Drosophila melanogaster: one gene and its partners. The protein of the gene in region 1 interacts with the protein of each later gene in a pairwise test. Each region holds a gene or a part of one and is shown in the gene's direction. Other genes may lie near its edges.

Region 1 (4,258 bases):
GAGAATGCTATAGTCGAGTTCCCTCGCACAGCTGGAAGTGTGAACGAGAAATTTCAATATTTTTTGGAATATTGGTAGAAATTGGAAACAAAATAATAAAATAAAAATTTAAATGTTGCTGAGAATGTGGGCGTGACAGGTTTACGCGGCTTGTGGGCGTAAAGTATTTTGGCATATAAATTTACAAAACTAACATAAAAATCAAAAAATAGTAAAACATTTTTCAAAAGTTTGGGCATGACAATTTCGGGCTGTTTATGGGCGTTAGATTGGAAATCGGTTCTACAAAATTGCGCTACGTCTATGTCTCTAGAACCACTGTTCTTAATCTCAACCTTCTAGCTTTTATAGTTCCTGGGATCTCGACGTTCATACTAGATCGACTGATCCTGATCAAGAATATATATATATGTAGTTGGTCGGAAACGCTTCCTTCTGCTTATTACTTACTTTTCAACGAATCTAGTATACGAATATCGGGTATAAAATTTATTTTAAATATCTTTGTTAAATTTTATGAGCTGTTGATAACGAAATCGAAAAGTTTGTACTTTTTTTTAAATCAAGTGCATTAAAATTAAATTTGTGGCTTAAAATGTATTGTAATAGCTTATAACTTATTATGCTGTAGCATACGAAAAATGGTTCTTAAAATCCTAACTTGCATGAGTTGAATATTTCGAAATTTCAAATGTTCCCGGCTACTTAGTTGTAAAGTGTGGCCGTTTCTCCTACATCGAAATCGATAGGTTCGAAATGTAAACAAACATGGAAACTGAAACTGAAGCGCAGAAATTGTATTAGCTATGGCCAAAAATGTAAAGAAATTAACGTTGGCCAACAAGTTGGCAAAACGCGGAGATCTTATAAAACCCACGGAAATAAAAAGTCGTCCAAATAGGGCGGATAACGTGAGGGTAGGCGGAAATGCATGATAAACAATGAAATTGATACTCAAGACGCAGTTTCTAAATCTTCCAGGATATAGAGGATCTGGTTGGTGTATCTGCTGGCGCAGCAGGATCGAGTAGCTCAGTGTTCTTCTCCCCCGTGCAAACCCGCAAGCAGCGTCTCTTAAATGGGGAAGCCGTGAAGAAAACTAACATTAAAATGGAGCCCTTGTCTCCAGCTCGAGTGGCACCCAAAAAGTTTAGAAAGGATGATCGCATGGTAACCAGAGTTCAAATGGGTTCGGCTACTGTGGTCATATGCAAGGTGGTCCCTGATGCTGTGGACTCCCCAGTGAGAGTGGATAAGATAAGAGAGGAGGTGGAACCCCAAATAAAACAGGAAGCTCCGGAGGATTCCCCTTCTTTTTCTGAGGTGCAAGCACCACATCCTTTGTGGTTTAACCACCTAGAAAACATTCGCATTATGAGAAACTCCAGAACTGCGCCAGTGGACACCATGGGATGCCACCGATGCGCCGATTTAAAAGCAGACTCGAAGGTATTTCCAATAAGTGGAATTAAGTACATAGAAGAATATGTTACAAGCAAACAACTTCCTTGCAGACCCAGCGCTTCCAAAACTTAGTGGCATTGATGCTGTCCAGTCAAACCAAAGACCAAACTACTTATGAAGCCATGAATCGCCTTAAAGACCGAGGTCTAACTCCACTGAAAGTAAAGGAAATGCCAGTGACTGAACTCGAGAATTTACTGCATCCCGTATCCTTCTACAAGGTTTGGTGGAATTAATAATAAATAAATATATCGCACTTACTCTCGATCTCTTCCAGAACAAAGCTAAATACCTCAAGCAAACCGTGGAGATACTGACGGACAAGTATGGTTCGGACATTCCAGATAATGTCAAGGACCTTGTAGCTCTTCCAGGAGTTGGCCCCAAGATGGCCCATATATGCATGGCAGTGGCCTGGAACAAGATAACCGGAATCGGAGTGGACGTCCACGTCCACCGCCTTTCTAACAGGCTGGGCTGGGTGCCGAAGCCCACCAAGGAGCCCGAGCAAACCCGTGTGGCGTTGGAGAAGTGGCTGCCATTCAGCCTCTGGTCAGAGGTCAATCATTTGTTCGTGGGATTCGGACAAACCATTTGCACCCCAGTGAAGCCAAATTGTGGGGAGTGCCTGAACAAGGACATTTGTCCTTCAGCCCATGCTGAAACTAAAGAAAAAAGGAAGAAAGACCGATAGGAAAGAGGTTCAGCGAACGCTGAAAAAGGTTTTAGGTTTCTAAGTGTTTCTGAAATTATTAGTGCTAAGAAAAATATTGTGTTACCCATAAGAAAATAAATGAATTATTAAGGGGGCTGTAAGTCCTGTAAAAAATAAAAAATTTTGTGGTTTTTCTTTTTTTGTTTTAACTGAAAAAGGTATATTCCCAATTTATTACAATAATTCAGTTTTTCAGGAAAAATATTGAAATATTGACACTACAATATTTCGTATTTCTTATATACTAAATAGATGTTATTCCTACGTGTTCGACCTACGGCCACACTATCAGCTCTACGTTCGCGCGTTTTATTGTTTACCAGCGGCCCTTGTGAAATTATATAGAATACTCAATTACAAATCCCTCAAAAGCCAAGAAAATGAATGATTCATGTAAGTATAGCCCGTAGCTCAGAGAAATTAAGGGAACTAATAACGAAGCTCGTTTTAGTTGGAGATTTCAATGCCACACAAACTGCGCCAACTGGAGCCGCCAGCAATCAAAAGGGAGAAGTAAGTGAGTGAGACGCCAGTAAAGTTGCACAACCTAACATGATTCCGTATGATTGCAACTAGGGAATAGTGCCCCTGGTGGTGAAGCAGATTGTGGACGCCCCAGAGGGAAACATCGAGTTGTTCGGCATGCAGTACGCCATGGCATGTGTTGTGGCCATAGTGCGGAACGTGGAGACTTCCTCGACGAAGATCACCTACACCCTGGAGGATCATAGCGGCAGGATCGATGCGCACTACTGGCTTGAGGAGGGCGACGCTCTCAAGGCACCCGAAGTAATGGTCAACAACTACGTGAAGGTCTACGGCACCACCCGGTCGCAAGGCGGTTCCAAAACCCTAATGATCTTCAAGCTACTGCCCGTTTTGGATCCCAACGAGGTGTGCACCCACCTGCTGGAAGTACTCAATGCCCGCTACAGGGCCGAGGACTACCAGAGCAAGGGTGGAGCTGGAGCTGGTGCAGGGGCTTCTTCCGGCTCAGGCTCCATAGCTGATTTCACCGCCTCCCAGAGCTCGGCCATTGTCAGTGGGCTGGAGCCCAAGCAGCAGGCCGTATTCCAGGCCATCAAGAGCAATGTTTCCGAGGAGGGCATCTCCCGCAAGGAACTGAAAGCCAAATTCTCCCACATCAGCGACTCTGAGTTGACGTAAGTTGTTTATCCAAAACTATTGCATCATTTGATATTCTTTATTAATTAATATTAATTATAACATTTTATTGTTCCTATTTTTACAGCAACATTCTGGACTTTATGATTTCCGAGGGACACATTTATTCCAGCATTGACGCAGATCACTTTATTTGCACAATGTAAATCAAATCGTGTAACCACTATTTAATTTAAAAATGCGTATTGAATATATGTATTAAGTTTTTGAAAAACGGGAACATTTTCCATATATTAGTTGTACATTAAATATTTCTTATATAATCAGAAAGTGATTTTGGGATATTTTTTATTGGGACTGTTGAAAATGTGTATTTGAGGAAATCTTGCTCTTCAAGTTGCCGGTGTATGTGTATATTTACGGCTTATCATATGAAAAGTCTTCGGATTCATAGTCCTAAGGGAATTTAAAATATCTTACAAAAAAGATAGAAAACCTGAAATATTTTAATTATTTTATGTTTAATTAATATTCTTGTTCATTTATAAAATTGTAATGGATTATAAAGTTTTTTTGAATCGTTTCACTTTGCTTCATTTGATAAAAGGATGTGATAAGTTCATACCGCTTTATTTCATTATCAATTTATTTTTTAGATATATAACTAACTAACTTTTAACGCTAGTAAGTTAATTGTTTAATTAGGTAATGCATATTTTGATTGTATATCGGGCATAGTTAGATCGGATTGCAAAAAATTTATAAAATTCATTCAATGCGTTTTATTTCATTAGTTTTTGAATTTATCATAGAAAATTACAAGCTCAGGAATCAAAATCAAAACATAATAGGCATGCAAATCAAAAATTAAGATTAATATTTGTTGTGGGAATTTATAGCGCAAGAGAGCATTCCCCTTGGTCCCCAGGATCTTGCCAGTGAAGTTGAACTGCG
Region 2 (5,320 bases), on another chromosome or scaffold:
TTATATCTGTCTTAAACATGGAACAAATTCGCTATTCTTCACTGGCCTCCACACATTACCAAACAGAACACAATACATTTAAGCACATAATGTTAAAATCCTTTAAGGACACTTTCCCTGAGCCATTAGGCGACTGCCGCGTGCGCATTTCTCGGCCAAATCAACGTAGTATTCCGGCGGAGCCTGCTCCGTGTCCGAAATACGCGTCTCCAGTTGAACGGACAGCTTCACACAGTCCACCATCAAGTTGGTGGGATTCACGCCAAGTACAAAGGAAGCCTCCTGGTAAGGACACGGGTTTTCTTCCTTCTTGGTGTTTCCGAACTCATAGCATGTGTCGCGAATCATAAAGTGTCCGTCCCTGTTACATGGATTTCGTACGCACTTCGGGATGATCTCCTCCTTGTAGAGCACCAGAATCTGTCCAGCCTCACAGGGTCCCTGTCGGTAGGCCGGATAGCAGCCATCGGTCTCCGGGTAATACAGTGTGGCTATCGAAGGGGAAGTACCCATACGGAGATTATTATGTCATCGCCATGGTAGCTCCATTATGACCGCTCACCTGGCGCGCAGTCGCAAACCCAGTCGTTCTGCTTCTGCTGGTCCCCCGGATAAAGAAGCTGGTGCTTGGGGCATCGGGCTGGCGAATACAGTGGCTTGCGACCCTGTTGATGAGGAGAAAGCGGAGGGGTGTGAGGCAGGAATTCGATTGATTATTGCCAATGGGGCTTGCATACACTACCAAAACAGTCCCCGTATTTTGAAATTCACTTCAAACACACACTTTAGAAGTTTAAAGGTTTGAAACTCTCAAAGTCACCACAGTGATAAAATAAATGTATTTCTTATTTTTAACAAAAAAAAAAATTTTTCAATCACGTTCAACAGTATCCATACAATTAAAAGTCTGTTATTATAATTATTTAACTAGAACCTTAAGCTAGTTTTAAAATCAAAGCAATCATGAAATGTTTTTGAACATTGGTCACTACACAAAATTCCTAATTGGACTCCAACGACTTTCACTTCTGATTGGGAAGGGTATTCGGCGAAAGATGTTGCCCAGTTCCGGCTGGGTTTTCTCTTCCATTTTGGCGTTTCTTATCACAAATGTGGATTGTGTCTGGCTGCAGCTTACCGCAAGGTTGGCCTTCTTCTTATCAATGTCTTGATCCTCAACAAAGGCGATTTGAGCGTGTGCCACTTTCCCAATAAACGCAATAAGCGCGGCGATCAGCAAAAGTTGGGGATTGATCATTGTCCGTATAATCACTTGTTCATGTGATACTCACGGCAATTCAAACAAGTATGAGGCTGGCCAATCTTGACTTAATCTTAATCAATGGGAAACGAAGATCTTCGATAACGATAACGATCTTAGTTGGGTCCAGTTATGTTATTGTTTTACGTTTTCTCGGAAATATTCCAATATTCCAATTGGAAGTTTAGTGCGAATAACCAGAAAAGCAGAACAAAGTGAAATTAAAACATAGTCCAATAAGGGCCAGTTCCAATTGATATTGCTCTCCCGATTACATCCGCTCTTGCTAGTGATGCTCAATACTCAATCAATGCTCAGCTGTTTCTATCGATGAGTTGAAAAAAATAACTTTCTGATCATATAAATTTAAGCCAAGAGAAAAGGGAAAAACTTAAAAAAAATATCTGCACACTTACGTTTGCTTTTGAAATATTGGATTAAGAACTCCTTGTTAAGTAATGCTTAGTTATATTGTCTTCCTATGAGTTGTGGACTACCAAATTACTAAGTGTATCAGAAATTAAAATTGAAAATCGAATAATTTGTTATATAGAACGATAAGCATTACGAGTCTATTTTGGCGCCCAACTACCGAACATTTTCAAAATGTTGCCATTATTGGTTAGCACTGGTTAGCCAATCGCTAACTATCGAAAAGCTCCCATCTCTTATTTTCCTTTGTCAAAATAAAAACCAAATAAATATATATAAAATTCACCTGCAAAACGAAGCAACAAAAGACACTGTACGGCTCAAATGGACGAAGAGGAGAACTCAGGTGGGTGTGGCAGCATCATAGCACTCGCCAAATGTTCCCAATAACATATGTTCATCATATGAAACTGCGCAGAAATCAATTCTGTGCAAGCACGGGATGAAGATGTGCAATTGGAGGACCAACAGTCACAGGGGCTCCAGGATCGGCAGGTAGACGTGATAGAACAGGCTTGGAACAATGCAATGCCAGACGAGCCGTCACCGCCGGCAGAAGATGCCTTCCAAGATCCACTGGCCACCGATGGTGAGGGAGGGGATGCACTTGAGGCCATGGTAGAGAACGTTTTGCAGGACGACACAGCAAGCGAGGGCAGTCATCCCAGCAGTGACATGTCTCTGGAAAGTCCAGGAAGTGAAGGTTAGTTGGCTTACAATCGTTGTGCTGCACATTCCTACTTAACCCGCGTTTTCCATCCTTTCCAGATGATTCCGATCTGGAGAGCCTGCCCCATTGGATGATTCCGCAGAACCGACTGCGCTCCGCCGTAGACATGATGGTCTCGCAAGCCCGCAATCGGGATGGTGGAATCGCTGCACTGCTCAGTGGGGACAACTTCCTACAGCGAGTGCGTAGCATGGTCTTTAGCCAGGAGCGACGGCGCAGTCGCACAAGCGAGGAAACGAGCCAGGAGGCTGCCGAGCAGCCCGTTGATCCACCGCCACAGCAGCCACCTCGACCACCAATCGACATTGGCTTTGACACCAATCTGCCAGCGGAGCATTCATACTTCGGTAATCATTTGAGTCGCGTGCCCGGAGTGGACTACTTGGAGGTGGGCAGCGTCCATCACATGCTCATCTTCTTGCACCAGCACATCCTCTTTCCCGGCGAGGTGCTTCCCTTCATGATCGACGGCCGAATGTTTGACGAGGATATGCCCGGTCTGGACGGTCTGATCTTCGGTGTAAGCTTCCCGCGTTTGCAGCCGCCGGAGGACAACCCACACAAGTTGTATGGGGTCACGTGTCAGATCTACGAAAGGGGCGAAAGCGGCCGAGGATTGGTGTTCTACAAATCACGAGCACTGCAGCGCATTGTCATCAACTGCGATGATATAAAAGGGTGAGTCTTGACTATACGGATCACCTTAAATTCTCCATGATTAATCCCATATCTTTTCAGGTCACCGCAGTACATTGCTCGCAATCCAACTAGCAAATGCTTCAGCAAAGTCAAAATATTGCCCGAGTATTTCCTGCCCGAACCGCTCCAAACTGTTGACATGGGCTCGATGGCCAGATTTCGGGATATACCCTCGATGCGCGACAAGTATCGCAGGTTCCAGCTAAGCACTACCACCTGGCCATCTGATGCCTGCCAAGAGTATTCGTTTTCTTCAATTGTGGAGCGAGCACGCCAGAGGCTGGAGTCCCAAAAGATAGACACAATGCCAAAATGCCCCATTCAGTTGTCCTTCTGGTTGGTGCGTAACCTTCACCTGACCGAGAAGATGATGCGGCTTACCTTCCTCACCGACTCGGTTAACACTCGCCTCCAATTGATCAAAAGCACGTTCAAGGACGAGACACTCTTCTTTTGCCGATATTGCAATAGCAGCTTGGCCCTCTGCTCGGATCTCTTTGCCATGTCCAAACACGGTGTGCAGACACAGTATTGCAATCCAGGTAAGCATAAGGAGAAGTCCAATGTCCGTCTTCTATAAGCAATGAATTCACTGAAACTAACTACTTTACAGAGGGCTACATCCACGAGACAAACACCGTGTACCGGGTGATATCCCATGCCATCGGCTACAGCGGCGAGCCGTCCACAAAGTTTAGCTGGTTCCCCGGCTATCAGTGGCACATTATTCTGTGCAAGTTCTGCGCCCAGCACGTCGGGTGGGAGTTCAAGGCCGTGCATCCCAACCTAACACCCAAGGTGTTTTTCGGTTTGGCCGGCTCCAGCGTGCGGATTGGAAAAGCCAGCGAGTACTCGCCCTTCAATGGAACCACCTATGTGGTGCGGAATATGATGCGGATGATCTCAAGCGATATGGAATGAGGCTGGCGCGTTGTGAAGCGATTTTTCAGATGTCAACTCTGCTGCTGGCGTCGTCAGGAGAATGATGCGGTCCATCAGGTGGGACCTGTTTAATTCGTTTCACAACTACTTTTAGCAAAAACACACGGCGTTTGATGGCGTGGATGTAAACCTAATTGATATTTACGATTATTTGAATAATAAGTTACTCTTAAATATTTGCTTTTAATATTATGGTTACAAATTTCAATCATTTAAAAGTGCCGCAAATGAGGTGGACAGCTTCTGAAAAAGATAAAGCAGTTGTACATTGGCAATAGATGAAATGATAGGCAATATTACCGCCTTGCAGAAGGGACACTGGCCGAAGGAGACCTCCAGAAAGGTCTTGCCATCCATCAGAGTCTTAAACCACTCCTCCAAACAGACGGCATGGCACTTTAGCACACATTTGGCATTGTCGCAGGAGACGAGGGGCACCTCGCCACCATCCAGGCGATAGGCAAAGCAAATGTTACAGCGCAGCTCTTCGTTGTCCTCTTCATCCAGCTTGGGTCCATCCGACCAGTCTGGCATGGGAAAGTAGCACAAGTCGAACATTCGGAGTAGGTTCTTGTGAATGTTCATTTCGGAGTCCCAGTTACTTAGACCATCGCTGAGAACGTGGCGCAGGCGGGCCACCTCTTCCGTGGGCCCAATGATCTTTAGCGACATGGATGCAATGCAGGCAAAGGGATCCGCGATGGTCAGCTTCAAGTAGACGCGATCCTTGAGAGGGAACAGTCGTGTTTTGTGTTTGCTGCTGATGGGCGATGGTTGCAGCACATGACAAAGCTCGTCGATATCCATGAAGTTGTCGTAGAAGGGACGCAGATCCTCGAGAAGCTTGCGAAAGAGGTTTAGGGCCTCCTCTAGGTTTCCAGCACTCTTGGTCAGCATTTCACCCAGCGATACGCAGTCGGGCAAACTGTGATCAAGCAAGAGAAGAGACGGGATCTTAAGCTCCAGATAATGCTGCTCGAAGTCGGTGAATTCGCTGAAACGAATCATGGAACAGGCCTCGTCCACTTGCAGGCAGTACTCGTTTGACTTGTACAAGGCCAGGATATCGTAATATATGTTCCCCTCCCGACATAGTTCCTTTGGCACTGTTGGGGCTTTTTGGGCAGGAAGAATCTTTGGCAAATGGTCCAGAAAATCCTCCAGCAGCCAATCGTCCTGTAACTTGAGATTAGCCGATGTGTACAGCTTGTACTCCAAGCTTTCCTGGACGTAGAGCTGGAAACCATGAAGAGCTG
Region 3 (5,320 bases), on another chromosome or scaffold:
TCTACGATAAGTTTGTTGGGCAGCTGAAAAAACGCGTGGAAGCTTTGAAGATCGGAGATGGTCAGGGTTGCGATGTGCAAATCGGACCACTGATCAACGAGATGCAGTTCAACAAAGTCAGTGGCTTTGTGGAGGACGCCAGGTCGAAGAAGGCGAACATTATTCTGGGCGGACAGCCGTTGCCCGACAAGGGATCCCTTTTCTACGCACCCACAATTGTCACAGATGTGCCACCCTCGGCGCAACTCTACTCGGAGGAGGTCTTTGGTCCAGTGGTCTCCATCATACGGTTCCGAGACGAAGAAGAAGCGGTAAAGAAGGCAAACGACACCAGGAGAGGCCTGGCCGGTTACTTCTACAGCGAGAATCTGCAGCAGGTGTTCCGGGTGGCCAAGCGACTGGAGGTTGGCATGGTCGGCGTCAACGAAGGCATCATCTCCGCAGCAGAGGCTCCGTTTGGTGGCGTCAAGGAGTCCGGTGTCGGACGGGAGGGTTCCAAACACGGTATCGACGACTATGTGGACATCAAGTACATTTGCATGGGCAACCTCAAGTACGACTGAAGTCCGATGGAGGGATCACCCCCACTGCTTTCATACGCTGTCTTCCACTAGAATGCGATTGGTTTATTGTTGTCTAATTGTAGAATAACACGCCGCTATATTAATAAATGTGCACAAAGTCTACCTGAAGCTAATAGATAATTTCCCTTTTTTAAAATAGCCCGCCTCACCTTTCGATTAATTGGGATTGGTTAACAATCGCTTTAAATTGACAAGAAACCGATCATAGAGACATCGATATCCGGGAGTAATCGATTTTTCTCCACCTCTGGGCAGACTATCGCCATCCCCACAGCTGTGCGACAGAGACAGAGACAAAATTACAATGCCAAATGACAAAATTGTAAGTAAATTGTTGATAAAAAATTAAAAAGTGCATTTAGGGTGGAAACTAAGCGAATGTCTTATTGGTGAAGTGTGTGCAGTGAAATTGGTCAAGTGTTTCCCTATAGCTACCCACCAAAAAAGCCGGCAAACAATGTCGGTTTTCCAGTTCGCTGGCGTTTGTTGTTGTTGCCTAAATGTATGGAAAATATATTTAAAGTGCATTTCAGCCGGCAAAAGCGAAGCATATAATGCATAATGAACCCATTTGGAAGCACTCCCGGCAGTGCAAATCCACTGCAAGTCCCGAAATGCGGCCAAAGGTGCTGGCGGTGAAATTGAATGGTACCATGACTTGTAGATTTTCCACTGAAAGAGTGCAGTCTAGGCGGCAGTAGGACTGAGGGGAGTGTGCGGGGGTTTTGAGACCAAAAACCGATCCAAAAACCAAATAAATTATTAACAATTGTTGGCTGCAATCCGCCTGGGGGAAATGCATTTGAGGATATTTCTGTCTAATAAAGCAATTTCTGGTTGATAGGGTGCTACACTCAGAAAAATGTCTCTGCGTAAAATTAATTTTTGAAATATATGTTTTGTAAAATAAGAAAACTGCACATACCAGTAAATAGCACAACTTAAAATTTTAAATACAAATTTAATATAATTTTTTTGTTTTAAAACTGCATGCAGCTTGTCTTTCAAAATGCTGTTTTATTTTTTATTTAAAGCTCATACAATTACAGATCCGAATTTACATATACAGGCATTAGTTCTCTTTTTAACTATGCACTCATTTTGGCAACGAATTGCATTTGTTTTTAATTGCGATGCCAGATAAATTTCCGCAGTCAAGTTCGCGCCTTCATGACGTACAGTTCGAAACACTAAGCAAAAAGCCCTACAGGCTTTGGTAGCTAATAGCTACACTTGACAATCCCCCTTACCCAATCTACCACCCACCACCGCCCACACAAGAGCCCACCCAACCGCCCATCACCCAGTGACCCGTCCAGAAAGTCCAGAAAATGGCCTGTGCACCACTGCTGCTCGAGCAATTCATCTACAAGAAGCGCAATTTCGCCTACGCCTTTGTGCGCCATCGTCTGTTTGTGTTATGTAAACAATCGGTTGGATCAGAAATTGCCAAATTCACCTGTCCTAGTACTAATTAGAATCTGTTATTCATTTGTTAATTCCAGCTAATTCGCGTTCAGTCGGCGGAGGGCATCAAACGCATCGAGATCTCGCCCAAGTCAAATCTAAAGCATCTGTACGACAGCGTTCAGAATGCCCTGAAGGTGGATGGATTTGGTCTCTTCAAGGAGCGCAACTTCCTCACAGAGCTGCAGGCAAGTGGCTCCCAGCTGGTGGGGACTTCCTTGAGGCATGGCGACATGGTCTACTTAAAACAGATGGCTGGCACATCATCGCGCGTAAGTTGATCATATAGAGCAGAACGATCGGGGACTAACCTGCATTTTTCACCACTTCTCAGCGCACTAGCACCACTGTCCTGGACAGTCAGGCGTTCAAGACTAGCACCATTAGCAATCCAAACAGCGCTCGTCCATCCTTCAATGTGATCGAAGATGACGTGGACCAGGCTCTGAGCAAGGCTGATGGCACCATTAAGCGCGAACGTGATAGCAAGCTGTAGGCCTTGATTATACAATTAATTGTAAAATTAAACTGATCAACCTATAACTTTTTGTAGGTGCCACCACAATGCCAACGGCCGTTGCGTTCACTGCTCCGCACTGGAGCCCTATGATGAGTCCTATCTGAAGGAGCACAATATCAAGCACTTGTCCTTCCACTCGTACATACGAAAGCAGACATCCGGCATGGATCAGGGCAAGTACTTTGTCTTCGACGACATCAATTGCCGCATCAAGCCGGGATGTCGCGAGCATCCACCATGGCCCAAGGGCATCTGCTCCAAGTGCCAGCCGTCGGCCATTACGCTGAATCGTCAGACATATCGCCACGTGGACAACGTCATGTTCGAGAACACTAAGATCGTGGAGCGCTTCCTCAACTACTGGCGCACCACAGGACACCAGCGCATGGGATATCTGTATGGGACGTACGAGCAGCACACTGATGTTCCGTTGGGCATTCGGGCCAAGGTGGCTGCCATTTATGAGCCGCCACAAGAGTCTACCAGGGATTCGATCAATATTCAGCCGGATGAGTTCGCCGACGATGTGGATGCCGTAGCCAGTGCGCTGGGACTGAAGAAGGTTAGTTAGTTATAGACAGTAGCTATGTAGCATTAGTATTGACTTTTGTGACATTTATAGATTGGTTGGATTTTCACTGATCTCATCACGGACGATGCGAGTATCGGCACTGTCAAACAGATCCGTGGCATCGAGTCGCACTTTATTACGGCCCAGGAGTGCATCACAGCTGGCGAGCTGCAGAATCGACATCCAAATCCGTGTAAATATGCCTCCAATGGCGTCTTCGGCTCTAAGTTTGTGACCATTTGTGTAACAGGTAAGATTCACGATTTAATACTGCTTAATGAACTAGTACCAAAATAGTTTTTAACATTACAGGAGATAAAACCAAACAAGTGCACATGGAAGGCTATGCGGTTTCGGCTCAGTGCATGGCTCTGGTGCGCGATAATTGTCTGATACCCACTAAGGATGCGCCCGAGCTGGGCTACGTGCGTGAATCCACGGACAAGCAGTATGTTCCCGACGTTTTCTATAAGGTAAGTTAGAAAGTCTCCCCCCCATTCAAGCAAAATCAGTTATCGGGCAACCTTTATTGAATTACGTTCACACATTTACACAAACAACTTCCATATTTAGACATCAATACGAATGGGATTTGGTTTTTCAGTTTGATACATGCAAAGAAAATTTGGGTGTCAAGAGCAACGCCAATTCAAACATTTGACATCTAGAGGCTTACATTATCTTGGATTACGTTGATTTATTTATGGAACAACTTCATTATTTTCCTTATCCTTCTCGGTTTGTACTTCTCATCATTGCTCTGGGTTCTCCTTCAAACGTTCATTTTATTTTTCCTATACCTAGGACATTCATAAACAATGTTGTTATTTAGCGCATATTCAATTGTTAAAATAACTTTCTGAGCAACTGCCAAGCCAATCACAATTTTCCAGTTATTACCCTTATTTTTTTTTATTTATTTTTATTTTGCCAAACTGTTTTGTTCTATCTAATGCTTAATTGTGATACGCGTTTTTATTATTTTGGAAAATATAAGATTTCGATTTGATTTTTTTCTTTTCAATTGAAGTTAATCGTTGATTGATTGATTACTTAAAATAATTTAAAGTATAATAAGTCTACAAATTTCGTAAAATTGATTTCGATTTGTTCCTAAAAAGATTCTTTGCCTTCCTTTACATCGCTAAGGTCATATTATTACTTGATTCCCTTATTTTTATGGATGGCTATTCTTGGCGTTCATTATTTCATCCATCACAAACATAGCCTTAGTTATGATCACATCAAATGCATATTTAGACACCGAAAACTATCTCGTTTATTTACTTATTGCTAATAGGTTTATTTCATATTAATTATTAACTTGAATTGACATTAATTACATGTCAGCTATGTATTTGGATTTCACCTTACTCGTGGTTTCAAATTTTTAAGTTTTTATTGTAGCTAATTTACTATATCCAGGTATCGTCGTAGCGCTCCAACGCACATTTAGTGTCGTTTTCCTTAAGCTAAACTTATTTAAATACTCAAGGTCTGTTACAATTTCCACCTTGTCCATGAATCTGAAATGTTTATAGATCATTGATAGTCTTTTTTTTATTTAAAATAGCATCCAAAACGTTTCAATAAGTTGTAAATTGTTTATAAAAATTCTTTCTTTCTTTGTTAAAAAAATTGGCTTCTGTTGCTGAAAATGTCGAGTTTCAAGTGTCTTACATTGATCGTTTATTTTTACAAAATTTATACCAAGATTTGCATTCCAAGAATAAAATAGATATTGGGTGGTGTTGTACATTCAAAGTGTTTAGGAGCTTTCGGTTTGATACTGTTCGATAAGTAGGATTAGCTAATGGATCAGTCGGACTTATTATTGGTTTAAATGATATTCCCCACAATTCCGGATAATGCTCCTAAGGGCCGGGCGTCCTAGAGCATTGCCACTGGCCGCAATTCGGTCCACCAGCTCAATGCCCTGGACAATGAATCCGAAAATGGCGGTGAAGGATCGCATCTCGTTTAGCACCAGCCGAAATTGGCTGCCCACAAATCCACTTCTGTCCTGTCGCCGCTGTCCCCTGCGCATACCAACCGTTCCCCGATGTGCCGGCAATCCCGTTTCGTCTGGCAAAAAGTATCTGCTCTCAAAGGCCGAGTGCCCACCGCGTCCGTTCTGCGATTCAAAGTCGCCGGTGATGATGCTCTCGCCTCCCCAGG

The links. Proteins that work in one complex are often made in the same cells at the same time.
Region 2: the proteins of RPA2 (region 1) and ohgt interact in a two-hybrid assay, tested with the Drosophila melanogaster proteins (one large-scale study listed by BioGRID).
Region 3: the proteins of RPA2 (region 1) and Npl4 interact in a two-hybrid assay, tested with the Drosophila melanogaster proteins (one large-scale study listed by BioGRID).

What each region holds. Positions count from the first base shown.
Region 1 is NT_033779.5:20,924,348-20,928,605, reverse strand, and holds RPA2 (replication protein A2), read left to right. Parts: upstream 1-2,458; 5' UTR 2,459-2,559; coding exon 2,560-2,572; intron 2,573-2,630; coding exon 2,631-2,692; intron 2,693-2,755; coding exon 2,756-3,342; intron 3,343-3,431; coding exon 3,432-3,510; 3' UTR 3,511-3,631; downstream 3,632-4,258. Other genes in the region: Nthl1 (Nth-like DNA glycosylase 1), read left to right, coding at 807-917, 982-1,449, 1,515-1,685, 1,742-2,158.
Region 2 is NT_033777.3:10,047,279-10,052,598, forward strand, and holds ohgt (ohgata), read left to right. Parts: upstream 1-1,920; 5' UTR 1,921-2,017; coding exon 2,018-2,039; intron 2,040-2,111; coding exon 2,112-2,396; intron 2,397-2,461; coding exon 2,462-3,101; intron 3,102-3,161; coding exon 3,162-3,664; intron 3,665-3,735; coding exon 3,736-4,043; 3' UTR 4,044-4,249; downstream 4,250-5,320. Other genes in the region: CG12811 (uncharacterized protein), read right to left, coding at 103-491, 563-665, 1,139-1,258; fancl, read right to left, coding at 4,269-4,307, 4,365-5,320. UniProt on the Drosophila melanogaster protein: Substrate recognition component of a DCX (DDB1-CUL4-X-box) E3 protein ligase complex that mediates the ubiquitination and subsequent proteasomal degradation of target proteins.
Region 3 is NT_033777.3:25,620,175-25,625,494, reverse strand, and holds the start of Npl4 (nuclear protein localization 4), read left to right. Parts: upstream 1-1,749; 5' UTR 1,750-1,915; coding exon 1,916-2,017; intron 2,018-2,089; coding exon 2,090-2,323; intron 2,324-2,385; coding exon 2,386-2,543; intron 2,544-2,604; coding exon 2,605-3,133; intron 3,134-3,193; coding exon 3,194-3,392; intron 3,393-3,454; coding exon 3,455-3,615; intron 3,616-3,656; exon of another isoform or gene 3,657-4,973; coding exon of another isoform or gene 4,974-5,320. Other genes in the region: Ssadh (succinic semialdehyde dehydrogenase), read left to right, coding at 1-563; CG5071 (uncharacterized protein), read right to left, coding at 4,974-5,320. UniProt on the Drosophila melanogaster protein: May be part of a complex that binds ubiquitinated proteins and that is necessary for the export of misfolded proteins from the ER to the cytoplasm, where they are degraded by the proteasome.